2 linked regions of the Mytilus edulis genome follow. The protein of the gene in region 2 purifies or fractionates together with the protein of the main gene of each other region. This does not show direct contact. Links are inferred from orthologs where the notes say so. Each region holds a gene or a part of one and is shown on either strand. Other genes may lie near its edges.

The links.
Region 1: the proteins of superoxide dismutase [Cu-Zn]-like (region 2) and Parkinson disease protein 7 homolog purify together in Homo sapiens (affinity purification with mass spectrometry; 4 studies listed by BioGRID and IntAct, with this or other methods). This does not show direct contact. The link is inferred for Mytilus edulis from reciprocal best matches to the Homo sapiens genes SOD1 and PARK7.

The regions. Positions count from the first base shown.
Region 1 is NC_092356.1:41,312,245-41,329,018, reverse strand, and holds the start of Parkinson disease protein 7 homolog, read right to left. Parts: upstream 6,956-16,774; 5' UTR 6,789-6,955; coding exon 6,705-6,788; intron 741-6,704; coding exon 579-740; intron 1-578. Other genes in the region: forkhead-associated domain-containing protein 1-like, read left to right, coding at 7,406-7,501, 9,167-9,373, 9,770-9,814. UniProt on the Homo sapiens protein: Multifunctional protein with controversial molecular function which plays an important role in cell protection against oxidative stress and cell death acting as oxidative stress sensor and redox-sensitive chaperone and protease.
Region 2 is NC_092353.1:20,698,463-20,715,346, forward strand, and holds superoxide dismutase [Cu-Zn]-like, read left to right. Parts: upstream 1-7,780; 5' UTR 7,781-7,879; coding exon 7,880-7,957; intron 7,958-10,606; coding exon 10,607-10,703; intron 10,704-10,822; coding exon 10,823-11,010; intron 11,011-11,950; coding exon 11,951-12,061; 3' UTR 12,062-12,629; downstream 12,630-16,884. Other genes in the region: integrase/recombinase xerD homolog, read left to right, coding at 202-1,128. UniProt on the Homo sapiens protein: Destroys radicals which are normally produced within the cells and which are toxic to biological systems.

The sequences.
Region 1 (16,774 bases), on a different chromosome or scaffold from region 2:
AAGAATGGTATCACATAAATTTAACATTATCAATGATCCATATAAATATGATCAAAGTCAGGTAAACCCTGTCAAACAGACACTTTACAATCATTCCATACCCAAATGTAGTTGATTTTTAATAGCTCAAAGTATCTGATATAGGTAAACTGGCACACATTGATCAAGGAACTTTGAAAATGTCGGCAAGGTCACATGAAATCTACAAGACATTCATGTACACCTCACTCATTCCATTCATCAAATATAAAAGCCATTATGTTCAAAGAATCTGAGAAATAGACCAAAACCTAATATCTATTACTAGAGCCTGTAATTCAGTTGGGTGTTTTTTGTTGCTGTATATCATATTTGTTATTCTGTTTATTGTAATGTCCATAATTGGCATAAATCAGGCCATTAGCTTTCTTATTTGAATTGCTTTACATTTGTCATTCCGCAGCCTTTTAAAACTTGCTATGCCATACGTTTTGTTCATTGTAGATGTCTGTACAGTGACCTATATTTGCAAAGTTCTACATCATTTAGGATCTGGTTGAGCTGATGAAATAAATAAGCTATGGTTACTATGGAGATACCTGACAGAGATTATTTGCTCCTCCTGCTCCACCAGGACAAACCACCACATCATAAGGACCAGATTTCAAAGCATCATCAAGACTCTTATCAGGAACAATTTTCACCTGTCTACTGCAGACAACTGGATCAATGCCATCAATACCTGCAAGTGTCACATCTACCTATAATAACAGACAATTACATGTACATTAAGTTTACAGGGGAAATATTTTTAAGCTTTCTAAATTGAAAAGAAAGAGGGATGTTAAGACTTTTTTTGTCATAGTTTTAATCTAACATTATATAATAAAGCCAAATGATTTGTAAATAAAGAAAGAGCAAAGGCATATGTACATAAAGTAGAAGCCTAAATTATGATATGATGACATCATAATTGATGAAATTTTAATCTATAGTGTATCTAATAGTATAAAATCTTTAATTTTGTTGAAATACATGCACATGTACATCATGGGATATGAAGAGTATACATAGGATTGAATGATTTAATATAGTATATATAATTTGTAGGTTATTTTGTGCTTTTGTTATCTATTATACAATGACCATTGTTTTCCTGTACTGATTTGTATGTTCTTTTACTCTCTGATCAGGCTGACCAAGATTAATAAGGGAAAAGGTTGAGATTGCAAATACCTAGTTTAACCCCTCTACATATGCAGGTACTTGTTAAATATTCCCATAGAAGATACTGGACTCAACAATATAAACATTTTTACCATAACTCATTCTTTTTTATCGATATCTGCATATAGTCTTGGGGGACTAGATTTCTAATGTAAATATGAAAATTTCAACAGAGTTTGAAATGTTCATTTTAGGAGCTGAACTCTTGTATAGAAGACGTTACAATCCAAAAATCCTTGTTGTTGCCCCACATGGGAATAAACAGATAAACATATAGTGTACCGTATTTTATAGACACTAGATGATAAAAAGCTTGAGATACCCTATAGACACCTATCTATTGTTAATGTCTGTACATTGTATGTTGAAGCCTGCAAGTCTCTCTGCTAATTTTTGTCACAGTATTGCTGTTTGATTGTGCACAATACACCTTATAATTATCACTTATTGAGTCTTTTGACAGCCAATGATTTTTTAGCATCAAAACAAAGTTCTAGAAATCTTTTTATTTCTGGTGGTCCCTGAAGAAAAACTGCTGACCTCACTACTTTTTATATTAATAATTCTGAAATTGTGATGGTCCTTTGCATATTTTAGTTGTCAAATCCCTGGGACCACCACTGTTCGAGAACTCTGATCAAAATTGAAAAAAGGATTGGATATATATATCACTGTCCAAAGCAATTATTTTTACAGCAAACATCATTAGGTCACTCAATTGATGCAAAAAGGAGGTAAATGTCAGATGCAAAATCTAAAACCTCAAAATTAATATTAAGTAATGGAATATGTTTGAATTAAGGTGTAATTGTAATGTAATTGATTACATTGAATTTGTGTGTAATTGTAATATAATCAATCACATTGACTTAGTGTGTAATTGAAATGTAAACTATTACATTGAATTAGCATGTAATTGTAATTGTAATGTAATCAATTACATTAAAGTATATGAAACGAGTGACTGGTGAAAAATAATGTTTACCCAATTCTTGAACCAATGCAGGGCACAGCTTTATACGACCACAGAGGTCAAACCCTGAACAGTTGGGGCAAGTATGGACACAACATTCAAGTTTGATACAGCTCTGAATTTGGATTGTGATTAAATAGTTGACACAGCATAGGTTTCTGGCACAGAATGAATGTGGTCTGTTCACCTCCCCCTTTCCCTTATTTCAAAAATAATCTCAATTCAAATTTCTTATGGAGTTTGCAACAATAACTACTCATTTAAATACATCATGAAATATCAAAATATAAAATGACATACAGTCATGGTTAAAATTAATAGTAACTTCTAAAAATAGTTTTACAGATAATCATCTCAAGACAATCATCATGATTCATTTCTAAATACATAATTTTAAAGCAGAGTAAGGGAGGTAATCAAACATATATATAGTATTCTTTAAATAGAATTAGGTTACCTCCCTTACACTGCTTTTAAATTGTCAAAACTGTCCTTTAACCAGAAATACCCTTGTTTTCCCCCTTTTTTTGCCCCTAATTGCTAAATGATTTGAGACATAACAACCCCACCCCCACCCCCATAACCGTCCCTTTGTAGTATGGAAAAATTGTGGTATAATTTCAGAGAGTCAGAGAGATTCATACACTTAATCACAAGTTATTAACCTTGAAACTACAAAAATGTTTATTTTGGCCCCTTATTCCTAAACCTTTGAGACCATAAACCCCAAAATAAATCCCAACCTTCCTTTTGTGGTTATAAACATATGTTAAAATTTTATTGATTTCTATTTATTTATACTAGTTATTATCCGGAAACATTAATATAATTGTTAGATTTGAAATGTTATTCCAAATTGTTGGGTTACTTTATTTATTATTACTGAATTTATTTATTTTATTTATAATACTTGTAGATACTATTTTTGGGTATTTGCGCATATGTAATGTTGCGATCATGAACATTATAATATCTCCCGTTTTTAAGTTTTATGACGTTTCGCTTTTGACGTACGTTACGTTGTCTAGTTTTTTATTCATTGCTAGTTATTTGATATTCGGAGACACATCATTATTTTATACAGGTTGGGAACAAACCCTCTGTATGGTGATTATACCTATATAGAGGGATAATCCTTCTATAGAGGGGTAAAATTATCCCTCTATAGAGGGGTATTTTTGTTTAAACTGGATTTAAATCAAAATAGGGCAGAATGGCATTCTCTACTTATTATGGCAGTAACCTGGAACAGTTGATGCACCAATTAATGTACTTAATTTAATATGCACATACCCAGTTTGATACTTATCTGACTAAATATAAAATCTATTGTTCACCATGATTGAAAGCTCTGATGATCAGGTAAATTCTACTCACTTATGCCTCACTGAACAGAATTTCTATTGTTAGATTTAACATGAAATTTAAAGGTCAATTAGCACCGGCGTTTTGCATTTGCGCCGATCTGCATTTCATTTGCGCCGATTTATCTTTCATTTGCGCCGATTTTTTTTTTCATTTGCGCCGATTTTTTTTACAGGTAAATTACAGGTGAATAGATATAAGAAGATGTGGTATGAGTGCAAATGAGAGAACTCTCCATCCAAGTCATGTCATTTTTCATTTATCATTTAAGACCTCTTCCATTAGCCATTTGTACAAATGTAATGAATTGTCAATCATAACATGTATATAACTGTTGTCTCCTGCTCACTACTGAGAGATGGAAGAAGACCTACAAGATACACCTCCAGACTTTTTCTTGACAGTACCCGTAGTTCTTTAACCTCTGTCTTTCGGATATCTGCCACATGTTTATGCTCGATCAGTGTTTTGACAATAGAATCCGTGGTGACTCTGGGTTTACACGATTTGTGGTACATTCGTAAGATATGTTCTTATGTTTCAGGACACTAAAGTTCCGATATGTATGGCCCTCGATGATTAAAAAATTTACTCCTCGGTTTCAGTGTGTAATATGTCCATCATGTTACAACGAAGTTCCAGAACAATATGAATCAAAATAAACTTATTTAATCATACGTTTTTTGATTGAGTTAAGTCTGCCAATTGATATTTTATCGTATGTTTTTCTTTGTTGTGATGTTATGCTATTGTTTCAGAAAAAGGGAGAAGGTTTGAATCCATTAAAACGTTTAATCCCGCTGCAAATGTTTGCACCTGTCCTAAGTCAGGAATCTGATGTACAGTAGTTGTCGTTGGTTTATGTAATATATACGTGTTTCTCGTTTCTCGTTTTGTTTATATAGATTAGACCGTTGGTTTTCCCGTTTGAATGGTTTTACACTAGTAATTTTGGGGCCCTTTATAGCTTGTTGTTCGTTGTGAGCCAAGGCTCCGTGTTGAAGGCCGTACTTTAACCTATAATGGTTTACTTTTTAAATTGTTATTTGTATGGAGAATTGTCTCATTGGCACTCACACCACATCTTCCTATATCTATTAAACATAAATAAACAACATTTATAACCAGATTTTATCAATGGTATAGTACAGTACATGTACAAGTATTAAATTACCTGTAAATCTAATTAGGAACAAATATAAAATCGGCGCAAATGAAAAAATGAAATTGGCGCAAATGAAAGAATGAAAATTTTCAAATTGGCGCAAATGTCATACGCCCATTAGCACATACTTACAAGTTCTCGTCCAATCAAATTGCTTGAATTTGCCTTCTAATTTTCATAGTACATACTTTTTCCGTGTACTAAGTAACTACGCATGAATGACCACAAGGGTAAGATTTCATTGTATTGTAATCAAGATATTAGAACAAAAATTGCTACTGGCTATTTTGAAATAAATTATGTGTTCCAAATTTAACTAAATAGTTTGTAATTAGTTTTCAAACAGATTTTTAACATCCTACTAATCAATCTTTTGATCTAAATTTTGTTTTGACAATTAAAAAAGTTTCTTTCATTTAAATAAAGAGTAATAATAATGGTGCTTTATACCTTGATTAAAGTACAACTCAATCTAAAATTTGTAATCCTTTATCTTCCATGCAATTACTTTGTACACAAAAAGAGTCAACCATGAATCTTTTAAAGGGAAATTATTAATAAAGAAATTTGATATATTTAGTCATAAATTGGTCGATAATTGGTTGCCTAATGTCCAGTGACAAATATTTCATGCATATAAACTACCTACTAGACTACCTATGGGTACATACCATGGGCAGATCCAGCCATTTTTTAAAGGTGTTTCAACCAAAGATGTGGGACGGGGATCCAACTGTTTGTGATAGTTTTAGGTTTTATGTGAAATTAAAAAAATGTTTTCAAGAATGTAAAGCTTTCACTGCAATTTAAGAATTGTCTGCTCTTGGTCAATTCATTTTGTCATCTTACCATGTAAATAAGTACATGTATAGTAAAACAACGTTTTCGTTCATATCAATAAACATACGTACACCAGCAGCTACCTTCTTTACATTCTAAAGTCAAGGGCCTTTTGAAATCCAATTTTTACAATGATATTATAGTGAGTAGATTTACAAAACTACGTAAATGAGCTACATCCAGTCAGCCAAAACATATCAATAGACTAATTACAGGATTACTCAAGTTGTAAATATGTGCTAAATTGGATATTGTATAGAAAGGTATATACTATGAAAATAAGAGCTTTGGGGCAAAGCCCCTCGCTCTAATTTTCATAGTATATACCTTTCTATACAATAACCGAGACCTATTCCTTTTGCTGTTGATCAGGTGTTCAGATAGGTTTACAATAGATTGCAAGTTTTGTCACTTTAGCAGAAAACTGGTTATCCTAATTTTTAGTAAAGTGCATATGTTGATGCATATAATGCTAGAGATTATAGCCAATATAACTAGATAATGCCATTCTGCCCTAATTTGCTTTAAATCCAGTGCAAACAAAAATAACCCTCTATAGAAGGATAATTTTATCCCTCTAAAGAAGGATTATCCCTCTATAGAGGTATAATCACCCTACAGGGGGTTTGTTCCCAACCTGTTATAGAGAGATCATAATCGGTAAGAGATAATTTATGTACAGTTTTAAGAACAATATTTATTTTAAGAAGAAATATTAAGAATTGTAAAAGTATTTATAAATTAATATTTATTCTAATTAACTTTTTAATTTAACAAGTTACTTATGAAGCGTGAAAGAAAGTGAATCATATTGTTTGATTAGTATTTAATGCCTTTAGTTTTTTAAGTTATATTTTTACTTACGATGTATGTTTATGTGTATTTTATTTTATTGAAGAGAATCGGTTGTTATGATATAGTATATTTAGCCATATGTAGTTTTGAAGAATAAAGATACTTATATAGAACGCATACTCGACTTATCGCCTTATTTGATGTCTTTGATGTGATCCGTTACAATAACATGTACATTAAGATACATAAGTTTATTCAAGCGGGACAGATTCTCGGGTCTGATAGCCGGGAATAGCGATAAGGTGTATTATTTTGGGCCGATTATAATTTTGGGACTCAGCCTAAGCATAAGGTACGTACTCCTCCCCGTCTTAGAACATCCACTGTGATGACGGTTTCCATTTCTTCTGCCCCTTCGGCGAGTAGAACAAGTGCACTTGGCATTTTTGTTTTTGCTAAAAGCTGTCACTTGGCAATTTAATATTTCAAAGTTGTCCAAATTTTATTAAAAAATATGTAAACATTAAATTCAGAAGCACAATGCAACTTGTTTAACCTCCTAGTTACTTCGTTAGTTTAAACGTATGAAAGATACAGATTTTTTATTCAATAATCTCTACTAGAAAATTTTTGTAAAAATTATTAAAGTGTACCTTCAACATTTATATCTTACATAACACTAGAAAAGACAATTAAAAATATAGCCTTTATAAGATTAAAACTATTATTCAGAGATAAAAACAATTCTGCTTATTTTTGTATCCAGGTTCGAGGTTTCGGATGTTTGGTTGTTATGCGCTATTGGGCATGCGCAACATCACTCGCGCCGACAAAAAACTTGTTTATTCTGCATGTAAAATAGAAAAACAATTGATTCTGACTTAATTTACTAATCCCACGTGGAGAATTTAATCCTACATTGATAGAGTCTGCAAATATCTCATCAAAACTGACAACTGAAGAAATATTTTCAGGAAACACGTGGGAAAACGGGCACCTGTTCATGAGTATTTGGTAACCCGAGCAGCAACCAAATGTAAACAACTTTCTAGAGTGTCAAGATGAAAGCATTTTTAAAAGGAAATGATGGGTCTGCATTTACTTTAGCCCCCAAAGTGACAACAGTTGGACGTGAAGGTTGTGACATCAACTTACAGGTATAGATTTATTGAATATTCATATATTTGAAAAAAGTGTAGTACACAGAAAAACCACACTTCAAGAGGGGTATGATCCTGGATCTGGCTTATTGTTTTTTGAGAATTCCATATCCTGCTTCTCCATGCCACAATAGTGCATGTTATCTCACGTTTCCCGCCAGACTTTGTATCCTGTTTTCACGCTTTTAAATTATTCAACTTTTACGTGTCCCACTAAAAAAGGAAGCCAAGCCAATCCTGTGTCATGCTTAGACCTCAATACACCTTATTGCTAGTTGTCCGCTATTACTGAACATCACACAGGTTCCCTTAAAATTTCGACGTCATAATACAAAATATCTGACGCCACAATGGAAAAGTGATTGTTGTATGACGCCAATAGTTCAAGCAGGACCGATACACCTTATCGCTATTTCCGCTTGACCCGAGAATCTGTTCCGCTTGAACTATTGGCGTCATACAACAATCACTTTTCCATTGTGGCGTCAGATATTTTGAATTATGACGTCAAAATTTTACGGGAACCTGTGTGATGTCCAGTAATGGCGGACAAATAGCGATAAGGTGTATTCTCAGGTCAGCTGAGAATAGCGATAAAATTTTGAGACCCACTTCAAGTATCTGTATAATACTGGAAATGAACTCAAAATACTGAGTAAAACTTATCCAGGAAGTGTGTGTGCGCCACTGATGTAACTAGTCACACGATTTATAAACTGCCTTTAGTGCCTTAAAACTTTCCACAGTTTTACAGTTCACGGTAGTATTTGGTAGTAAGTTCCAGTCAATGATAATTTGTGGAAAAAATGAATGTTTATATATGTCAATATTTGCTGATAAGAGTTTTATTTGTTTGAAGTTCTGGATGGTCTAGTATTAAATTCTACGTGATGTTCAGTGGGGATGGCTACCAGGTCAGTCACTATTTTGTATAGTAGTACCAGTCGTTGTTAGCGTCTTCTTTCCACAAGAGGTTTCCATCCAAGGTCCTTCATCATGAAGGTGACACTACTCACTTGTCTCTGAAAAAATCACCTATATTCATGTACCTTTATATTAAAAAAGATGATCAAATCACTTTTCTGAGAGTAGTCTGAGATTACTCTGACGTCCAACAGCTGTTTTGCCAGGCCCACGGCCCCAGCTTGTCTGGCAAACAGCTGTTGGACGTCAGAGTAATCTCATACTAGTCTGAGAGTATCAAATTTCATTATATTTTGGTTCATGGTTGTTCATCCTTCAGAATGTAAGAGGGTAGGAATGCCTCTTATGTTTAGTATCAAACAGTCATTTGCAGCTACTTTTAATGTCAAATTTGTTGAAATTACAGTGTGAATTGTCAGGGGTGTCAAATAAATTACTCTTGCATGTCTTGCCACTATGTTTCAAAATAAATAAAACATATTTCGTCAAAATCAGATGATTTTTTTTCAATCATCAGTTAAAATTGTACATTTATCATCATGCATCAAAAACTATCATTGGCATCATTTAGCTAGGTATTTTACCATTATTCCTAATGAAGGTACTCCTACCATGACCCGCCTGTAATGTTTTATATTCCTTGATCATTCACTTTTTACACCTTTTACAGATTATTTAGCTTTGTAAAGTTAATATTGTTTTTCATGCTTTTTGAATGATTATTTAAACTAATTACAGACACAAGGTGTTGACCTTCAACATAGTGTTATTGAGTACAGTGAACAAGAAGATGGTTATGTGCTGCAAGATCTGAACACATCCCAAGGAACATATGTAAACGAATGTAGAGTTCAGAATGCAACTGTCAGATTGGCGCCTGGAGACCTAATTAAGTTTGGATATAATGGTGTACCATTCACATTAGAAATTGAAAATCCACCACCAGTAAGTGAATATTTATTAATCTATTGTAATGCCACAAAAGTAAATATGTCAGAACTTTGCCCTTGCAGTTAGAACTACGTTTTGTGGTAGTCAACATTATGCCCTTGTAGTAAGAACTAAGATTTTAACAGGTGTTCAATAACAAAGATTTCAGATTAAATTGTATGCATACATTACATTTTAAGTAACAAAATTTAAAATTAGGAGTTACCTTTAAAAACCAGATGCCCAAAATCAGAAAGAAAAAGCGCAGTGGTATATTTGTAGTTTATCATCTCCTCCTAAACTGTTATTTATTATTCATGTTTACACGATACACAGGCTCAAGTTTCATTATCATAGTTAAATGATAACATGTAACTTCATTTCTTATTTGTACAATTCTCATTTTAATAGGAGCGACAGTTTTCACAAAGTCAGTTATTAAGATCATCCACTCAGGTAGAGTAACATTGTTAATATTTCACTTCCAATAGACCTGCATGTTCTTTTTCTCTTGGTGATGGTTGTTTTTCCTTTCTATCTTGTCTATAGTACATTTAGCCTTATTGGCATACAGGCACTTTAAAACATTTTGATACCAAACATGTAAACATGCAGTGACAGAATGCAAAATTTTCACTACACTCTTTTTGCTTGCTTTATTTTATTAAGGCAAACATGGAACACAACATTTATAGTATATCTACATGTATGTTCATATTTTAAAAACAAATATCCTTTATATTTGTTTGAGGATAAAAGCTTGCTTTCACTAGTGCATCAAAATTACACAAACAATAAGAATCTAGAAATATTAAAAGGCTTAAAATTAAAATATCTTGCAATTTATATAGTGAACATTTAATTTACTGCATGTTGAAATGGAATTTACATACAGACTAACAGCAGTCACAAAAACAAATAGTGCATACATCTTTTAAATGTCTTTAAAGAAGTTAAAAGAACCCTATCTTTCTCCTACTTTTTATCATTAGCTTGTGTATATATTTCAATTTCATAAACAACAGCATTAGTGTCAGACATAGTTATAAACAAACCTGTGTTTTAGTAACTTTAGAAAATATATCTTGATTGTCCTTTTTTTGGAAAATGATAGTAAAAAATCAGAAATAATTAACTATGTTAAAAGATTGAATACATATTGTAAATTTCTGTATGATGGTTTCCACCTTCTTATTCAGACAATGAAAAGATTCATTAAAAAGAGTCTGTGTATTCCCTTGTAACTTTGGTGTTGGTGTTTTTATGTGTTCAATAAATTTACAAAATACATGAAATATATATTTTTTCCGTTTGTAATTTGTATTGAACCAATTTGTCAATTAACACTTTCACTTCACACTTTACATGTTAATTCATATCTTGCTAGGTGTGATAGTTTGGAATATCAAGTTGAACATTTTTGAAAAACATTGTAACATTCACCACAATTGTTACTTCACCCTACCATATTCTCCACTCCAAAGTATCTTTACTGGAAAGCTTATTTTCAAGTCTTTCATGTTGAATGTGTTGAAGACATTGCTATCATTCATAATAGATGACATAATACATTGGCATTGATATTTTACTGTTGCAGGAGGTTGCTAATAGAAAATATGCTGTACTAGATCAATGAAAACTGTGTCAAAAAAGATACAACTTCTTATTATGTTTCTGCTGTTATGAAAAAAGGGACTGCAAGTACATTCCAACAAGTTAATCATTTCATTTAATAATATTATAAATGGTACATTGTACTACAGTTTTACAGAGTCAAAAGACAAATTCAAGTCAAATTGGATTGAGAGTTCAAGTTTTCCTTAGATATCTTGAATACAGTTGACACACTTTCGTCAGCTCTTCCTATTCCTTTGTTTACTGTTTTTCTCTCTTTTCTGTAGAAAACTTCTTTCTATCATCAGTTATCTAGATATCGACAGGTATGTCCACATAAATCATGTAATATAATATTGCTTGGAATGACAGTTACAAAGGTATAACTACAGACAATAAGTCTTTTCAAGTTGTGCCTCACCATCAAATATTTACAAGCTTGTGAAATTATGTGTGATACAATTAAAGGTAAAATCTATGATATTTTTTAATGTTTTCTATAAGAGTTAATATACATCCACCAGCATATGTCAGCTCAATGCTTTTGGTCAATCCTTAGATAAAAATATTACAAAAATAATATATTTCCTGATCTGGTTTTCAGTATAATATTGTTATACAAAAAGGGAAATTCCACACATTCAATACATTTAGGATTATTAAGATAGATAACTGTTTTGGCATTATTATACATTTAATAAGCAATCTATATTTGTAGATCTCTGCAAAGTACATCCATGGCTTGAGACAGTCATGTCATTTTGTCTGCTTGAAACTGTACATACATGTCTGTCATTTCTGTACTCTTATGAACTTTATTCAATCATACTTATAGAATTTTGTTAATTTTATTACTTTTATGACATTTATCATACACAATTAAGATAAGTTCATTACTGCTCAGCATTCAGAAATAGATACATTATTTGGTCTGCTGTTTTAGAATGTATTGATTAAATGACTAAATAGCTAGGGTAATCTTTTACAATTACAAGGGATAAGACATATAATAAGAAACACATTCTGTAGATTTTGACCTTTTTAGTGTCTTACCAAGCCTTCAACTAAGCTGTCAATTACATGTTATAATGTAGTATATGTAGGTCAGTGACTGCATGAACCAATACACAATAATATTAAATATAAACCTTTTAAAATTAATTTATGTTTTTTGTACACATATGTACCGTTCAAAAAAGGTAGACACATTTATGTAGAATGCATTCAGATAAATATCGTGGAAGGGATAATTATTCTACAAAAATATAGCATAAGATAGTGTAAAATGTTTTTACACCACAATAACCTCCATAAATATATCACTGCCTTGATGTCAGCATTAAGCTCGCAAAATGTATACTTTCAAAATATATTGTACATATGACATTGTACGTTCATACACTAGATTTTAATGGATTCTGCATGTCAGAGATATAGAGGAATATTGGGTCGTATCTATCTCTTATATTTTTTCTAAGTATTTATAAAAAGTTTGTCCTTTTTTTTCTCTCACAAAAAAACATTTCAAATACGAAAATTTGTTTAATAATGGTTTATATGATAAGTTTATTTGTTATTTAAAAAAAACACCAAAAGAGCAGGCTCTAGCTGAAGTCTTATTTTAAAAGATTTAAATACATAATTTTAAACTAGAGTTATCTCCCATTTTTAAAAGTATTTGTATTTGTTAGTGTGCGATGAACTGATTAAAAAGAAAATTACAAACCCAGCAGTAGTTGTTAGGTGGTTATATTTACTTTGATCAAACTTCCGGTACAACATTGAAGATATATTGTATATAAATTTAAAAAATGAAACTTTAAAGTATGATGAATTGAATATGCGCTTCATGATTTATTTCTTTTCATCATTTAAATCTTTAAAAAATGAAGCATTCAAATATATTACATGGTTATAAATTTTCATTCAACCATTTAAAAAATATAAATACAACTTTGATAAAAAGCTTTATACTACCAGTATTTGCATTTGAAGCTCTGAAGAAGAATTTTAAATTGTGTAAAAAAGGACTAACTTTTAGCTAACAATATGCATGTCTTGTATGTCTATGACACGATATTTCAATTCGTTCATGCAAATTTGGTTTCTTATACACTTTGGACAGATATGAATGTATTTTATATGAGGGTCTGGATGAGGGGGGGTCTGTTATTCTGTAAACATTTCATTTTCACCCCTTTTTTCTCTAATCTTTAAAAAATTAACCCCTTTTTTTCTCAAATCTTCAAAAAATTAACCCCTTTTTTTCTCTAATCTTAATTTTTTTGCCCGTTATTCTCTAATCTTCATTTTTTAAGGGCATTATTCTTTAATCATTTAACCCCATCCAAACCCTCTAATATAGGACTTATTTTCTTAAAAGTCCTTTTTCATGGTTTTATTTATAGTGTTGGTACAGATTCTATCAAATAAATTGACTGTATTGTGCAAGAGTATGTTATTATGCACTGCTAAAAGATTTCGCTTATTACATGTCTGATAAGTCTGCTTATGAATTCAAGATAATCTAAAAGCATCTGCAAGTTTTATTCCTTATTTGATAACACAGCATAAACTATTTTTGTTTTGCAATTAAGGTTATACTGTGGATTCATTATTACTATTATTTGGTTATCAATTGGAACAAAAAAAAATCAATTAACTGTAGAAGAACGTAAGATTACAATTATAGTGGGCCTCTCTTTTCAATTTTAACCTTACTGTATGAACTTCAGAAATATGTTTTTTAAAAAGTTTATATTTACAGGTTAAATATATTACCTTGTCAAAACTTGACAAATTGTAAAGATAAAGAAAGTCTGTGTTTATAGAGAGTTTACAAAACTTCTTTTACCTAAATCCCAACAATGAACTTAATCTTCAATTCATCAGAGATAAATATTTATTGTAAAATGGCATGTGAGAAAACTTTAAACAATAAATGAGAGGTATTTATCTTTTATTTAATGGCACAGATAGGCTGATTTTCACTGAAGATACTATAAATAAATGATAAAATCATCAATAATCTGACTGAGTGGACTACCATAAAGATGCTTAAATAGTCTGAATTAATGGCGTAATAAGCTTAACTCTCAATTAGATATGCCTTTCTCATTTAAGCTTAATATAGACATGCATTAATATTTATCTTGGTTACTATTGAGGTCGGGTAAATACTGGATCTCTGAAGTAAATTGAGTTTTTATTGATTTCTGTTATACTTAAATTTTGAAATGCAATCTTTTTTCTGACAAATATCACAATTATTGTCTGCAGTTTTTAAGTACAAACACATTGCAGGTTAATCAATGTAAATTCATTTTTAAATAGAATGTAATTTTTTTTTAATAAATTTTCTAAACAATGAATATAACTCATATCAAATAGTGATCTAACATTTTTATTTATTTACTGAAAATTTTATTTAGCAGGTAATTGCTAATACATATGTATTGAATTAAATCTTTATGATAATGTTTAGTTGTCCAATTTACCCCATACGTGTACTTCAGGTGTTAAAATTTAACTTTTTCAAACTTTAACCATTATCCTCAAAACTTTTAAACAATTTACATTGTAATAGAACTATTTTCTTTACCATTACAGTTATATCCTATTCTTTTGAGAACAACTTTTAATTGGAAGTTTTTATGTATTTTAGGTTTACATTTATCGGTTTACATATATACCTACCTTGTTAAAACTTTAAATCCCTCGTCAAAAGATTCCATAATTCCTACTCCATTGATCGGTAGAATGATTGATCCGCCATGTGCGATCATCTATAAATCGATTCACAGGTTATTAATTATAGCAAATTTTGATGATATCTTCAAACGATCAGTCTTAGACTTGTTGTCACATATCTATGAGGGGAGGATTTTCATTGACTAACACATACGTTTTGAGACATATATCAAGGATTTAAAATAATTTGAGCATGTTTAATTATAACATTTTTGTTATATTGTGTTACTGTGTGTAAATATTGTCTGTCAATAATTAGAAAAATTTGGCCAATTATAGCCGTCACTGATAAGACAAGTCAATTGTTACTCTGGTGTTTAGTTAACTTTAAACAATTGATTTTTGTGATAGAACAAATTCTTGGCAACCAAGTTTGCACAAATACGAAAAGTAAAACAAAGATGCACATGTTTTTTGGTGCATTTGCTTTCAACAATTCCTGTTCTATTTGGATATGATTAAAGGAATTTATACAGTATAATGGAGTAAAATAATATAGATACAAAAATACACGTTTGTTATACGTGGAAAATAAATTCAAAGTAAAGTGATTCGAAGTGAAGGATTATAAATTTGTTGGATTAAAATTCTGTGATGACTTATTATAATAGTAAGGTAATGTTGACTTTAGACCATAGTCTTAGGCTTAGTGCAGAACATTTTCATTTTTTATATTCAGGTGGTTTTAACATTCCTAACTGAATTAAAATAAAAACTTGATCTTAAGAAAAGTGCCCTGGTCAGTTCAGATACTGAGTATGAAATATACATTTAATCCAAGATTTTTTATTTTTAGAATTAGTCCTTTTCAATTTTAAACTCCAAAAGCTAAAGAATATATATATACTGACTTGAGTACATTAAACTCCAAAAGCTAAAGAATATACATATACTGACTTGAGTAAATTGTTTAATTTCAAACTTTGCTAAAATTCTGTTGGATGAATTCTTGAGTTTATCTACTGGTATGCAAAATGAGTTCTATCCTATTTATAAAACAGATTCACCTCTGTATATGTACTACATTGTATTGTTGTGGACTAATTTGAATGAATAGACTTTTTTTTCAAAATGGTGTCATGAAAGTTATTTGTCTTGCAATTATTTGATGAATAACAAAAAAAAAGAAATTTCTGTTGAAAATGACTGAACACTTGTTCCAATCTTCGTTTAAGTTGCAGTTCAAATTCTATTTTCTACTAACATTTTTATTCAGAACCGATAAAAGTTTGCATTGTGCAGACTCGTATCCACTTTAGGTTATAAATGACTATAAATACAAAGATAGGAAGATTTTTTTACCCAATAATTTTAAAAAGGTCAGTAGAAGATTTCACAGTTGTGCATTTGATGCATAGCAATGCATGAATTTGGTGTTCACAATGACTATTAGATAATATGCCCCCTAGTTATATTGGAATGAATATATCTTTCAATCTATTTTATAGTTTGGAATGATAAGCTGAAGGCATTTAAAACAATGTTGATAAACTAATAAATTTGGAATAAGAAAGAACAACACCATATACACATTTGTACATAGAAACTGTTGAGTCAACACGACAAAGCAATTCAGTTTAAACTTTAAAAGGTTTTTGTACTAATTTTCAAACACCTACTACTGTTAAAATCAATAGTCGCTATGTTCGAACAATGTTTTTACATTTGATTAGACAGTTTCAATGGATTTTCTTCTTTTCATTTTATTAATTTAATTAATTGTTTTATTATAACATCTTAATTGCTGTCAATTGTCAAAGTAAGGGTCACGCTGAGTTACGTGATTGCTATTAATTGTATCAGAATTACTTTTAATCAAGTTATTGGAAAAATCGGTTCTGTTTGTTGTTAGGAAAGTGTTTACCCCTAATACATCATTACTATCGTATTTGTCAGGCCTGAAAAAGTATATGCTTTTTGATTTTGAATCTTTTGGTTTGTGTATTTGTAAAAGTTCTGTGAAGTTGTTGTATAGTTAACAAAATTTGCTATGATAGAAAAGTCAGGTTCATTGGATAATCTGTGCAGACTTGATGCAAGCTAAGGAGATTC
Region 2 (16,884 bases):
TGTAACTGTAGATTGTACAGTGTGCATGTGTTGAATATGCGGACCTGGCCGCTTGTGTCACGGACCTGGCCGTGATTTTCTGTCCTTGAAAGGATATTGCATATCTTTCCATTTCTTTTGCAGATCTCTTTGAGTAAGGAATGGAAAGATATCTACAAACTCTCGCGCAAACCTGGGTTACATAATATCGCTTTTGCAGTTATGGATATGGCTAAAAAGAGTAAATCAGATTCCACAAACAAGAAATACGATTTATATTTTAATAAATTCAAAATTTGGTGCAGAAAGTTCAATTTAAAGTTTTTGCCAGCGGATGTATCTACAGTTTCCTTGTATCTCACAGAGTTAATACAATCAGCTTGTTCAGTGTCCGTACTTAATTCTAACTTTTACGCAATTAAGTGGTATCACGAACTGTTTTTATATCCAAACCCTTGTTGCAGTTCACTGTCAAACATTGTCTTAGAAGGGGGAAAAAGAATTTTGGCGAAACCCATACAAAAGAAGGAACCAATCACAGCGGATATAATTGTTAAATTATTCAACCTGTATCATGATATTTCTAACTTGTCTAACTGTAGGTTACTATGTATGTTATCTTTGGCTTATGCGGGATTTTTTAGATACAAAGAACTGTCGCTTATAAGAATGAGTGATATCAGTTTTCATAATACACACGTTGAAATTATAGTTCACAATAGCAAGACCGATATTTATAGACAAGGTAGTATAGTTATGATAGCAAGTACAGATATGCCGACTTGTCCTGTTAAATTTTTAAAACATTATTGTAATTTAGCTAGTCTTAAGATTAATTCTTCGGAGTACATTTTTCGTTGTTTGCAGTCCAAAAAAGATACTTTAGAATTGAGTAAATTAAATAAGCCTTTATCTTATACTAGAGCCAGGGAAATTCTTCTTGAAGCTTTGTGCGCAATAGGGTTAGACAAAAAGCAATTTGGTTTGCATAGTTTACGAAGCGGAGGCGCTACTCAAGCCGCTAACAACGGGGTTTCAGATAGGCTTTTCAAAGTTCACGGCCGTTGGCGATCCGAAAATGCTAAAGACGGATATGTGAAAGACAGTATTGATAAAAGACTTTCTGTCTCTAAAAACCTTGGCATCTGATATGCACTCTTTCGCCTTTTGTCTCGACTGGATGCTGCAAACCTACATCACATAGAATATTTGTGTTTGTGTATTTAAGCCTTGTATAGAAAAGAAATGCTTTATGTTCGGTTGAACCCGTGAAAAAGAACATAAATAAATTTCTTTTCGTTATAAGGCTTAACGAATACCGTTATGCGTAGTAATTTGCACGGGTGAATCCACCCGTGCATACTAAGCGGGAATTTAAATCATTCGACGGTTTGCATTCAATCAGTCTAGACGTTTAATTCAATTGTTGTTAAGGTCTGTTTGACTTTTCTTTAATTTTTTGTTCTTGTTTTTAAAACAATTTTTGTTCTATAGGTACTGTCTTTCACACGTATAAGCTATTTCTTATAGAAGTATATTACAATTCAACAGACACACATGTACACTGTCCAAAGTTACAGTATTTATTCAATTTCATGTTTACAATCATTTACATGTAGTTGTGAATTGTTTCTAATTTTTGTAATTGTATTTTGTAGATTGTGCAGGCTGTTGATCATACTTCTATAGTGAAGAGAATGTGATAAGGACTGTTTTTTGCGTAACACCTGCCATTCTAAATTTTTTGTTCACATGTTGTTATTATGTTCCGAATTTATTATTAAATGACTGGATGCTGCAAACCTACATCACATAGAATATTTGTGTTTGTGTATTTAAGCCTTGTATAGAAAAGAAATGCTTTATGTTCGGTTGAACCCGTGAAAAAGAACATAATAAATTTTATCATCGGTACAAACACATCATTTGTAAATATCAACATGCATGTACAACTTATACGATTAGGTATTTCACATCCAATCTTTTATGGTTATATACTTTACAAAGCACAAAGATGTCGACATTCACCTAAAAGCTAACAAAACAGATTTTGGCTTTGATATTGAATCACTTATAGGGTCTTAGCATCGGAAATAAACACATTTATTTTAAAACCAGTTGTTGGCATGTTACGGGTTATTTTCTCCTCATAAATTTTATGATGACAGTGGCGGATCCAGAACTTTTCCTAAGGGGGGCCCCGCTGACTGACCTAAGGGGGGCCGCTCCAGTCATGCTTCAATGATTCCCTATATAATTAACCAAATTTTTCCCACAAAAGGGGGGGAGGTGCGGGCCCCCCAGGCCCCCCTGGATCCATTAATTTGATGGAAACATAACCTTTCTATCAGTTTAATTGAGGTTTTGAGCTGGCATGTAAGTGACTGCTACTAGTCCTTTGTTAATTTTTTTAATCATCGTCATTTTATTTAGTACCTTTTGTTGCCTATTCTGACATCGGAATCGGACTTTCGGTGAGTATTGCTGTGTGTGTTCTATATTTACATTGGCTAGAGGTAAAGGGGAGGGTTGCAATCTTACAAAACATGTTTAGGTATCCTCGACGCATTTCTGCGCCTGTCCCAAGTCAGGAGCCTCTAGCCTTTGTTAGTCTTGTATGATTTTAATTATATATTTTTGAGTTTAATATGACGTTCAATATCCCATTTTTTTAGGGGCCAGGTGAAGCACGCCTCTGAGTGCGGGATTTTCTCGCTGTGTTGAAGACCCATTGGTGGTCTTCAGCTGTTATCTGCTCTTTGGTCGGTTTGTTGGCTCTTTAACACATTCCCCATTTCCATTCTACATTTTACCAAACAAGTTTTGCCCTATTTGAGATCTCTGATTAGAAAGTTAATTATCTGGTGATCATCATTTTAAAAATTAGCATCATCGTTAATTATGGTCTTAGTGTTAAGGAAAAGCTTCGACAAAGGATCTGTATTTTAATCAGATTAACTATGTAGATAAGATGGGTGTTATTTAATAGATATATTATAAAACATTATTTCCGAATCTTGGAGCCCAAAAAAGGAGCCTTATCACACCTTCTCATTTGAGTAAACATTTTTTACTTTCTTCATTTTGTTTAAGTGATCACACGATCCTATATTATATGTATCTGTTATCTTTTCTGAAAAGCTCAAATGATTAGGGTTGAAGTCATAAAACTTTGCTTAGTGCTCGGAGCACAAAATTCATGCTCGAAACATGAAATCCAGCATTTTGATTGGTTGATTTTGGAGTATGCGAACAAAAAACTGACTCGATCTATCGAATTATCAACAAAAAAAAACAACAATTATATTTGTTAATAGAAATTTTTAAAATGAACTATTCTAGAACATTTGCAAATATGTGTAAAGTAGAAGAAGGAAGACTTTTGTCTCATTTACAAATGTATTTAGTTCTAATATTTGATAATTGATTACCTTTCAGAATAGTGATTCACCAGTCATGGTAAAACCTTGTTGTTTAGCATCTATTAAACCAGTAAAGTCCTCTGTCTGGTTTAATAGCTGCTAAACAACAAGGTTTTACCATTTATGAGTTTGGAGACATCACAAATTGTAAGTATAACAAGAATGTGTCCATAGTACACGGATACCCCACTCGCTCTATCATTTTCCATGTTCAGTGGACTGTGAAATTGGGGTCAAAACTTTAATTTGGCATTTAAATTAGAAAGATCATATCATAGGAAACATGTGTACTAAGTTTCAAGTTGATTGGACTTCAACTTCATCAAAAACTACCTTGACCAAAAACTTTAACCTGAAGCGGGACGAACGGACGAAAATCTGCATCCATTAATAGCAAATCATCGGCCTTTCATCTTTCATATGGATAAGATCTATCGAAAAATACACTTGTTCGTCTGATGAATGGTTCGCTTCCTCTCATATCAGCGCTGCCTCGATTTTTTACGAGCAGTCGTAAGCATATAACAATATTTACAACACATCGTATCGTAAGTTTCTTTCGTGAATACAAATTACAACATACGATATCGTAGACCTTACCTTACGACAGTCGTAACGTTACGAGAGTTTTGTGAATACGGGGCCAGTTTCGTAAGTGGGTGCATTTTAAAAATACATGGTCTTTAAAAGTATATTGAGAATGTAATAAGAATATAGGGGACATTACGATGTGGATACCAAGTAGCCTGTATCCCAGACGCTTTTAAGTCTGGTGCAAAACCAAATGTATTGCTAAACCAAATCATCTTTTTATCTATATACCAAAAAAAATAAAAAAAATGTTTTTTGCAATTATTGTAAATATGTTTAGCTTTTTAATTTGTTTCCCTAGTATGTGCCTTCTTGTAATCTTCAACATATTGAAGTTCAGAAGTATTATGTAGATGTAGATGTAGATGGATATTAAGCAAATAAGGAAGTCTATATAAAAAAAAGTTAGCCGGAAAAATACAGCAAAATCATAATGTTATTTTCTAAATTATTTAATAATTTCGGACGATTTAAAAAAAATGGATAGCCCATGATTCTGCAGATTTTATTAGAATATATGATAAACAGAATAATACATGGCAAAATCCGTATCGCATGCGAAAAAGGAGAAAGCTCGGTAATCATTGCATTTCCCTCTCATTTAAATTAATAATTTTTTAAACAAATAAATGTCACACAATAAACGAATTTCGAATTTGTAATTTACAATGACGACTTTTAGGGGGGATGTTCACATTAGTGATAGACTGTTTGAACGGCAAGAAACGCCAATTATCAAAATATTTGATACCGGCCCGAATTTAAAAAAAAATCATACAGAGGATATATAGATTTTTGTCACACTTAAATTAACACTTTAGCAATGACTACGTGGTCGTTCTTCTAGATTTAAAAACAATCACTTAAGCCTCACCGGTAATTATAAAGTCTATCACATATTTTATAAAACCTAAGCATACTAGCTTTTGCAAAAAGATTATTTATTAACATCCGTGTTGCTTAAAGTTTTAAGCCCTTTAACATTAATTACCCTTTTGATCCATTACACATCAGCGTGATATTTAATTGTACTTTAGCAAATAAACAACCATCGCACTTTAGCGTGATACACCATCGTACTTTAGCGTAGACCATATCGCACTTTAGCGTGACCATCGCACTTTAGAGTAAAAAGTAAAAACACAAAAATACTGAACTCCGAGGAAAATTCAAAAAGGAAAATCAAAAATCAAAAGGCAAAATCAAAAGTCCAAACACATCAAACGAATGGATAACAACTGTCATATTCCTGACTTGGTACAGGCATTTTCTAATGTAGAAAATGGTGGATTGAACCTGGTTTTATAGCTAGCTAAACCTCTCACTTGTATGACAGTCGCATCAAATTCCATTACATTGTCAACGATGCATGAACAAAACAAATATACTCAAAGAGTAAAAATGTCAAAAATAGGGATACAACAGTCAATATTGTGTTATCATCTTAATATCACTACATAAACAACAAATGTAACAAAGTAGCACAAAAAGGCATACATCAAATTTAACATTCTCATTTTGCTTTTCTTATACGGCTGAATTTATCTATGTAAAGTCTACCCATAAATGAAAGAAGGTTTTCATTACTGGTGTAAAATTGCGCGTTTGAAATTCGCACAGGTAGACATAAAAATAATTTTGTCGTATGACGGCATACATAAATGCAGACTCACGTAAAGTAGATATAACAAAAAACAGACTTACAGTAAAAATAATAAATAAAATAATGGCGTGGTTCAAAGTATGACGGGACACATAAGTACAGTTTCACGTCAAATACGGCTGAATTTATCTATAAAATAGTTTAGTCATTCATAGTATGTCAAGATCCTTAAGTAAAAGTAATATCAATAAATGAAATAATTTTGCCGTTCAAAGTATGTGGTTTTACGTAACCACAGAGTCACTTCAAATGAATATCTAAAACAGACATATAAAAGAATACTATAATACGTAATTAAGATGCTAACAAACGTCAGTACGCAAAATCTATACTTCAAGACCATCTTGTATTATTTGTGAAGTTGATACGGAATATTTATCAACAAGTTCTGGGTATCTTCCGATGAACTTTTTAAGAAAAAGGACGAGACGTTCTTTGACATACCCCTGGTTCATCAATTTTCTGCTCAGACACTGGTAACGTTTTACAAAGTCTGAATAGGAGCTGCAAGCTCTTGAATACCTAATAAGTTGGGAAATGTATATTCCATATGCAGGTGAAGTTGGTATATTACTACTAAGGTGGGGGAAATTGATAATTTCAAAATTAAAATCGTCTCGTTTGTCATAGATTCTGGTACTGAGATGACTGTGTATGTCAAATTCGAGGTATAAGTCTAAAAATGAGGCAGAGGAAGCCGTGTCTGTGGTCTCTTTAATTTCTAGTTCTGGTGGGTATATTAATGGAATCCAATCAGAAAAGTTCGGATTGTTAATGGAAAGAACATCATCAATATATCTGAAAGTGAAATTAAATAACCTGGCTTTTTTATCTTCTTGTTTTTGACAAGTGTCTGAAGGAACTCCGATTCATATGAAAATAAGAAGAGGTCGGCAAGGAGAGGCGCACAGTTCGTTCCCATAGGAATGCCGACAATTTGTTGAAAAAGTCTACCTCCAAATTCAACAAATATGTTGTCAATAAGAAACTCCAGCATACTGATCACTTGTTCCTCTGTGTAGTATGTTTTACCCTTTTGTTCCTTATTAACAAAATATGCCTTATGGTATCCCAAAGTGATAAATTTATAGCGTATGCTACCATTTTTATGATGAAAAGCATTGTGAATTATTTCTTTTAGACGGGTTTTCAATTTCACATGGGGAATGGTTGTATACAAGGTTGAAAAATCAAAAGTTTTAATAGAACTAATTTCAGAAAAAGACCGAGATTTAAAATTATCCAGAAGTTCTTTAGAGTTTTTCAGAATCCACATATGGTTAATACCACTACGTGAGTAAACAGTTTCACAGTATATCTGAAGACCCTCTTTAACTGCGGACAGAATTTTAGTCAATCTAATGGACAATTCTTTAGTAGAACAAGCAGATGAGCCGGCAATGTACCGTTGTTTGTACGGAATTTTGTGAAGTTTAGGTATCCAATACAAACAAGGTAAGTCCTCCGATTTGTTGTTCAATGCAATGTTCATAGAAGCCATGAAGGACTTATGATTCGCCAAAATCTCATCCTTGTCAAATGATATGTTTTTGTATGTGGGATTACCTGAGTGTTCATTTATTCCTAATTCTTTTATAAGACACTCGTAGTAATACGATTTACATACAAAGACAATATTATTTGAAGCTTTGTCCGCAGGAACAACAACATACTTATCTTGAAGAGATGATAGACATTTCACAGCCTCTTTGTTACTGAAAATGGACTTACTAGATCGATCATTCACACAGTTTTACCATCGCACTTTAGAGTCCTACATATATAATAGCCAAAATTAATAATGTATTTCGTAAAAATATACTATTTTGTAATACAGGTCATATCCCAATTTTAACAATTTTGTTTTATCTCAAAGTCTGTGATTTCTATTTCGTTTCGTTTCGTTTCGTTTCTTTTCTTTTTGAGTTTTCTTTTTCGCTTCGTTTCTTTTCTTTTTGTTTTTTCGTTTCTTATTATTTTTCGTTTCTCCTTCGCGCTGTTAAATCGGAGCGTGTTTTTTTACCACAGAACCTAAAATACCACTAAACTTTACAAAAAATCAAAAAAATGTTTTCATTTCAGTTACATGTTTTCTTTTTTCCGTTTCGTAATCTGTTTCTGCGTTTTAGCAACACCCGTTGCACACGACACTTGTCCACATTTTCTCGCAGTTTACGGTCACTTACCGGTCACTTGTTCATAAGAAAATCTTATCTCTGTAGGTATGGCAGCTAATATAAAAGCAGTTTGTGTCTTGAAAGGAGATGGTGCTGTTACAGGAACAGTCGCTTTCAGTCAACAGGTAATATTTTTTTTTAAATAATTTTCAAAATTTGTTGCTCATGTTGCTGGTCAACATAATTTCCATGTCATATGACTACAGTTTGACCTTTTGTAATATAGCCCCCTTTACGGCAACCTTTTCTATGAGTTTCGTAAAAAAAACTTTATCCTAGAAAGGAAATTTCAAATGACTATTAAAAGTTACCTCTTTGTCAAAGGTCAAAACATAGAACATGTATGTTGTCAGACTTAGAGCACAGGGCTAGTATCACTATCAGGTTGGGAATGTGTTTTTATCCAGTACCTTGGGAGATACTATTATTAACCGAAAAGGCAACCAGGACCCTCAGTTTTTTCCGCAGGAACCTTGGCCAGTGTAAGCCATCAGTCAAAAACACAGCCTTTGGTGCATTCAGACCATCGATGGAGTAAGCTTGATCAAAGACCTTGAACGGGTACAGTGCAAAAAAGCACGATTGGTATACAACTAGTACACCGACACTTCCTCAGGCTGTGTCACTGGACTGAAAGACCAACGCGAGTGGGATACCCTTCTGCAAAGATAAATGAACCAGTGACTCATCCTTTGCTACAAGATCAAGAACCAACTAGTGGATATACAACCAGCTTTCAACTACACACTGGGGGACAACAGAACAAGGGTAGCCCATAGTCTGGCATAGAATCAACACCAGATAAAGAGCAACAAATATATATTTTTCACCACTTGATTTTAACCATTTTAACCCCACTTAAAAGGATAGTCGTTACATTTAGGGGTTATGCCTCATTTGAGGGGCTGTTGTATCATAGATGTTTTTGGGATGGAGTTACTCCGAGTATAGACCTTGTAGCAGTACTACTGTGTTTTTAGTGGACTTTTGCTTAAAACAGAACAGAATGCGTACCAGTGGACTGGCATATGTTTTCGCCCTCAAGACACCTATTATCATGATTATCATTGTTCTTACAATTCAACTGTCTATACAGTATCACTCTGCTCAGCTCTTCCTAAAGGTCTCACTAATAACACAAAGAATAAAAAAGTCTAAATATTACGAGAGTTCAACAATGATCAAAACTATTGTCTCTATATCTTCGATCACCTTAAAAATTCTATGCCGTATGGTTGAAGAAGAGTGATTAACATTGAATGTAGAATAGTATGTCATGTATGTGGACAAAAGTTATTTGATATTTAGGTCTTTCCACTTTTCGTGGAAAGACCTTTTGTTTTTCTTCTGATTATTTTTGTTTTTCTTTTGCCGTCTGAGATGCTTTTTTGTTTACAACATATCAAACTGATTTTTGGCCAATGATGTTGTACAGTAATTGAGGCTTCAAAACTCACCCTGTGTGACCGAACGCTTATTCTTATAGGAGTTATCTCCCCACGTCCCCTTTTTCTTGTTATCTTTATATCTGGAACCGTTAAAGATTTCAACAAACTGTTTTCACCAAATTGTTTGTCTGCTCTTAAGAACGGTTTGATGAATTTAACTGGAGTGATCGGATGACATCTTATGGGAGTTATCTCTCTTTGAAAATTTAAGATAGGTGATATGTTGGATAAATTCATACATTATAAGTCGTAGAGGCCTAAAGTCTTTTGATATGAAGTCCTTGTTCCGTTTGGAGAAAATTTAGGTCAGGGTCAAAGGTCAAGGTCATGTTCTAAATTAATTTTGCTTGTTTATATCTTTATTCAAAAGAAACTAACAGTTAATGATATGATGTGTTTGCCAAATAAATGTTTACGAAAGGGCACAACTTTAACCTGTTTAAGTCGGAAGTGTTTAGATCAACCCTTATAGGAGTTTTCTCCCCTTATGTATTTGAAATTAGTATTACTTCACAACCATACAAGTGATTTACCTGGGCTCTTTTGATTTGAGATCACTGACCTATGACCTTGAAATTGAGGTCAAATTCAAAGGTCAATTTGACGTTCTAGACTTTGACCTTTGCTGAGAATTCTTACTGGTTCATTATAAAACAATAAAGTCTTCTGCATTTGGTTGCAGACATTTCATCATGTACCATGTCAACGGGAAATGACCGTTTTTTAACCGGAAGTAGCCTATTTCAGACTATTCCTATGAAAAAGTACCTATAATTGTTTTTATTATATCAGTTTGAAGTAACAAATTACATGAACCATGAGTGACATTTTCCAATGTTCACTGTTTTTTAAATTGCATTCTTATTATCGAGGTGGAAAGACCTTCAATTGTTCTCTGAAGAATTGGTTTTTAATATTTTTTTATTTTTGAATTTATAAATTTTGTGTACATTTGTAAACCATGAATTTTCAAGATTGCAGTTTGAATTTTTGATCATATTTTTCTCTTTCAAATTATCTCTGATTTTTTTGACAAATTGTAACCTAGAGGTCACAAAACAAAACAAAAATTCATGTTTAAGTCATAAATTTGTTTGAAAACTTAGATTACATTTATTCAAATCTATTTAAATTATCACATAAATAACAAATATTTCTGAGTTTGATGTCAGATAAAGATTTTATGAAAATGATGTAGGAAATGAGCTTCAACTATTTTAGGAAGTTTGTATACAATTGGAAACATATTGAAGAGAAGACTTTTTGTCTAATTTACATATGTATTTAACTTCTGGTTTTAATATTTGATAATTGATTACCTTTCAGAATGGTGATTCAGCAGTGACAGTGACAGGAGAGTTAACTGGGCTAGCTCCAGGAGAACATGGTTTCCACGTTCACGAGTTTGGAGACAACACAAATGGTAAGACTATAGACACATTAGAACATTTTAAACAATTCCTGAAACTTTGAGATAAATAGAATTGCATTGAACATGAAGTTATACATTTATGAATATACAAACTTTTTTGTTTCTGTTAGGTTGTACTAGTGCAGGATCACATTTCAACCCATTTGGAAAGACCCATGGTGCACCAGGAGATGAAGAAAGACATGTTGGTGATCTGGGAAATGTATTAGCAAATGCAGATGGAAAAGCAGAAATTAAAATAACAGATGCAAAGCTATCCCTGACTGGTCCCCAGTCTATCATAGGAAGAACAGTAGTAGTAAGTAATATCAGAAACCAGACACAGCCTAGGAAAAATATGATAATAAGTCAAAAATGTTTATGGCTATTCCACAATATAACGATACATGTACTAAAAACATGTATTTTTTATCAATATCAATAAGGATGCTTAATTCTACAAACATAACATATACACAACCTAGGTTGCCTTTTCTTATTTTATTTTTAAAGTTGTGTAAAATGTGTATTATCATTTGCTAATGCATGACCTCAATTTTTCATACATGTGGACTATATGGATTGATTGTAAAAAGTCTAGGTCTGTCTGAATATGTTATGTGTAAGGAGATGTGATAGATGTGAAACAACTCTTTAAAAGAGACTAAATGACCCAGAAATTAACAACTTCAGGTCTTCGTACAGTCTTCCACAACGAGCAAAGCACATTTTGCATTATCAGCTCTTAAAGCTCCAGAAATGACAAATGTAAAACAATTCAAACAAGAAAACTAACGGCCTAAATTATGTATAAAATAAAGAAAGAAAAACAAATATGTAACAAAGCAACAAACAACAACCTCTGAATTACAGGTTATTTTGGACAGGCACCTAAATAATGTAGTGGGGTTCTAGACGTTTGAAGGCACCAACCATCCCCTTAGCTGTGACAGTGGTGTAACAGTACATCATAAAATCATGTCAATCTGAATTTTATCACAATACCATAACTTCATTTTTATGCTCTCCAGGTTTAATCAATTCAATAGTAAAATACAAAATAATGTTGAAATTAAAATAGCAATACTCATGATATTATAACATGTTAAATATGCAAAATATTCAGGCAATGAACCATAAGTGAAAGTACAGGAACAAATAAAGTCCATCTTATTGATCCATGCTTTCTTATTTGAAGGTGTCACTTCTGATATATGTAAAACATTAAACACTTACACACATTTTCTATTTCTTTTCAGGTCCATGCTGATATAGATGACTTAGGTAAAGGTGGCCATGAGCTAAGCAAGACAACAGGCAATGCTGGGGGTCGTCTGGCTTGTGGTGTCATTGGAATTTCAAAGGTGTAATGCATTCAAATGAATACTTTATGTAGTAGCAATGCAAAATGATTTTTTTTATTATTATTTAAAATCATGTAACAAAGTGCCCATAAGAACATGAAGCCATTCCTTGTCTCTGTATTACTGTAATAATTTCTATTTAGAATGTTCATGGCCATAGAATATTGAGTGTGGTATGATATATCTTTTAATTTTAAACTTTATGGAAAATATACTTTCTTCAAAATTGAAATCCTTCATACAATATGTCAATTGAATTATAACAATAATATACAGATAGAAGCACTGTAAATATTGATTCTCAATAAAAAAGAAAATGTTTAAAAACAATGAACAAAATTGTGGATGAAAAAGAGTATAAATTCAATGTTGATTGATACTACATGTAGTACCTCACTTTTATCCAGATTATTTACATTTATAGTTTTATTGTGAATAATGTATGTACTCTTGGTGTTTTGAATTTTTGAACAATAATACTGAAATGATAAAGGAAAGATTCCATCTTGTGCTTTATGTTGTATTTCTTGTTTATGTTAAGTTCTTACTAATACATTCTGTAATCAAACTGAAATGACTCATGATTGGCCCAGTAGTTATATTGATTTGCATTCAAATGCCGAGTCCTAAATATAAAATTTGAATGATGTCCAGTTTGTATGAGCCAAGTAAAGCTACTTTTTGACGTTCAGATACAACTTATAATATTTGACCTTCAGATACAAATTGTTTTATGTGAAGTAACAAGGTGTGTGAGGATATGTGGTGTCCAACTGAAACATACAGTATTCAGTAACCACAAATTGAAACTAATTGAAGCTGTTTTTAAGATCAGTGTAAATTATTTAAAACCTACATAGTAACAGAAAATGTTTCTAGTTTCATTTTAAAGGGCATAACCTTTATCTTACAGAATACAACTTGTCAGTATTTAATATTAATATATGATTTCATCCAAGCCATGACGACTTTGTGGTAGATTAGGGTCTAGCTGTTCCTATCCAAGAGTGCACATGATGAAATGCTTCTCCTGCTTTACCTAGGCTATTGAAGACCTGTTGGTGACCTTCTGCTGTTGTTTTTTTATTTGGTTGGGTTGTTGTCTCTTTGACACATTCCCCATTTCCATTCTCAATTCTATCTTGATTACAATTGTGTTTGTTGTAAGTCTGTGATTAGAAAGTTTTACAAGTACCACAAAAACTTATCAAAAATATTTTCAAATAGGTCAAGGTCATTGAAACCCTGCCAAACGTACATAATTCTGTCTTAGAATCTTACAATCATTCAATACATCACATAGAATTAACATTCAGCTTATAAAACTATTAAACCAAGAGTTTCAAATGGTGAAGTTGAAATCATCCCTTCTTAAATTTACAGAAGTTATCACAAGTTGGTCGACCTATATGGAATATCAGTTTCACAGATAACAGATATGTTCCTTATGTGTCGTGTACTGTTATTTGTGTTTGTCCTTTTCGTTTTTAGCCATGGAGTTGTCAGTTAATTTTTAATGAGTTTGAATGTCCCTCTGGTCTTTTATAGTATATGAGAAACTATACTCCTGCTTTACTTGCCTTAATTGAACTGATATATTGAAAAAAACATGCATTTTTAGAAATAGTACACCACTATTTAAAAGTCATTAATCGATTGAGAAAATTAAAAACTAAGGGAAACACCTCAACAACAAGAGGAAAACAACCGAAAACAAACGCCAACATACATCGAAAGGACTATTTGATAACAACTGCCATATTCCCGACTTGGTACATGAAATTAAGAAAAAACCGTTTGTTGAACCAGTTTTATGGCTAGCCAAACCTAATTACTAGTAAATGGATGTGTTAAAACATATTGCTTAAATGACAACAATATGTGAAAGAAATACTATACAAACATGCAAGAAACACTCAGCACAGAGAAACGCATAAATAGATAATATGTTATACATTACAACATGTAAACTGCAGAATAACAACTGACATCTTCCATTCAGGACACCACAAACAGTGACATATATATATAATCTTGAAGTTCATACAATTATTTGAAACAAGATCCAAAAATTCACAGGTACCTTATAGACCTATCAATGATCCTTTAAAATATGTTCTGGTCATATGAACCCTACCACGCAGACGTACATAAACATCTAACAATCATTCCATACATCACTTATTATTAGCATACTTATTATACCCCACGCAACGAAGTTGCGGAGGGTATAATGTTTTTGACCCGTCCGTCCGTCAGTCCGTCCGTCCGTCAGTCCGTCCGTCCGTCAGTCCTGTTTCTTGTCATCGCAACTCCTCTCAAACCACACAACAGAATTTCACGAAACCTTTTCAGATGAAAAGGACATACTATGTAGTTGTGCATATCGACAGGAAATTGCGATTCAATTTTTTTTATAAGAGTTACGCCCCTTTGAACGTATTTGCTTAATGTACTACTGCAACAGTTTGTCATCGCAACTCCTCTGAAACTACACAACAGAATTTCACGAAACCTTTTTAGATAATAAGGACATACAATGTAGATGTGCATATCGACAGGAAATTACGATTCAATTTTTTTTCTAGGAGTTACCCCCCTTTGAACTTATTTACTTTATTGTACTACTGCAACAGTTTGTCATCGCAACTCCTCTGAAACTACACAACAGAATTTCATGAAACCTTTTAAGATAATAAGGACATACTATGTAGATGTGCATATCGACAGAAAATTACGATTCAATTTTTTTTCTAGGAGTTACCCCCCTTTGAACTTATTTACTTTATTGTACTACTGCAACAGTTTGTCATCTCAACTCCTCTGAAACCACACAACAGAATTTCATGAACATTTGTAGATAATAAGGACATACTATGTAGATGTGCATATCGACAGGAAATTACGATTCAATTTTTTTTCTAGGAGTTACATCTCTTTGAACTTATTTGCTTTAAGGTACTACTGCAACAGTTTGTCATTGCAACTCCTCTGAAACTACACAACAGAATTTCATGAAACCTTTTAAGATAATAAGGACATACTATGTAGATGTGCATATCGACAGGAAATTACGATTCAATTTTTTTTCTAGGAGTTACATCTCTTTGAACTTACTTGCTTCAATGTACTTCTGCAACAGTTTGTCATCTCAACTCCTCTGAAACCACACAACAGAATTTCATGAAATTTTGTAGATAATAAGGACATACTATGTTGATGTGCATATTGACAGGAAATTATTATTCAATATTTTTTCTTATAAAATTTTTTTTCTTACACTTATTTAATTTCTCCAATGACAATGTGGGGACGTGGGGTATGTGAGCGTGCTCACTAAGGTTCTTTAATTTTTTTTGAAGAAAAAAACCTGATTATACAATGAACATTAACCAATGAGTAGTTTAGATATATGATCTTAGTTTAAAATACCACAGTTTTCAAATAAGTTAAAACTTAGATTATGATTCTAAACATCACGAAAATTATGGCCATGGAGCTTTGCCTTGGGCTTAAATCTTCATAAAACATGACCAAGTATTGTCTAACATATAAATAGTGCATGGAAAACCATGCACTATGAAATTTAGAGGTGAAAAACTGACTTTTCATTGGACGAGAAGGGGGTGGTATGTTCTAAACCTACAACATATGAAGAAATGAAATTCAATTGCTTATAGCTTTTGATAAACTGGGGGTTCCCAACCCAGAGTAAAAGGGGGGGGTTCCAACTATAGGCTCCCATTCAAATGCATTGATCGGCCAAAAAAAAAGGGAGGGTTCCAACCCCCGGAACCCCACCCCCCATGGATCCCCCACTGATTACAATAACTCCATACTCTTCATACATTTAATCTATTGCTAGGTATCTGAGATACGGACTTACGGATTTAATATAAAAACTCATCATTGATTGCTGATCCATTAATTAAGTTTGAAGTCGGGTGAAATTCGACTAAAAGACCAGTAGAAATTGCTAGGATATAGTATTATTAACCAACTAAGTACATTATAGCCAAAAATGACTGTTTATTAAAAATTACATATTTTCTGTAATGGCCCTGTTTTTTTCTGTAATGGCCCTGTTTTTCTGTAATGGCCCTGTATTAATGCCTAGTTTGTCTGTATTAAGCCCAGTTAGGGTTTTTAATAAAGTTAATAAAATTAAGTTGTAAAGAGTATAATACCTTTTTATACGACCGCAAAATTTGAAAAAATTTTCGTCGTATATTGCTATCACGTTGGCGTCGTCGTCCGAATACTTTTAGTTTTCGCACTCTAACTTTAGTAATAGTGAATGGAAATCTATGAAATTTTAACACAAGGTTTATGACCACAAAAGGAAGGTTGGTATTGATTTTGGGAGTTTTGGTCCCAACATTTTAGGAATTAGGGGCCAAAAAGGGCCCAAATAAGCATTTTCTTGGTTTTCGCACTATAACTTTAGTTTAGGTTAATAGAAATCTATGAAATTTTGACACAAGGTTTATGACCACAAAAGAACGGTTGGGATTGATTTTGGGAGTATTGGTTTCAACAGTTTAGGAATTAGGCGCCAAATAAGCATTATTCTTGGTTTTCGCACAATAACTTTAGTTTCAGTAAATAGAAATCAATGAAATTTAAACACAATGTTAATGACTACAAAAGGAAGGTTGGTATTGATTTTGGGAGTTTAGGTCCCAACAGTTTAGGAATTAGGGGCCAAAAAGGGACCCAAATAAGCATTTTTCTTGGTTTTCGCACCATAACGTTAGTATAAGTAAATAGAAATCTATGAAATTTAAACACAAGGTTTATGACCATAAAAGGAAGGTTGGTATTGATTT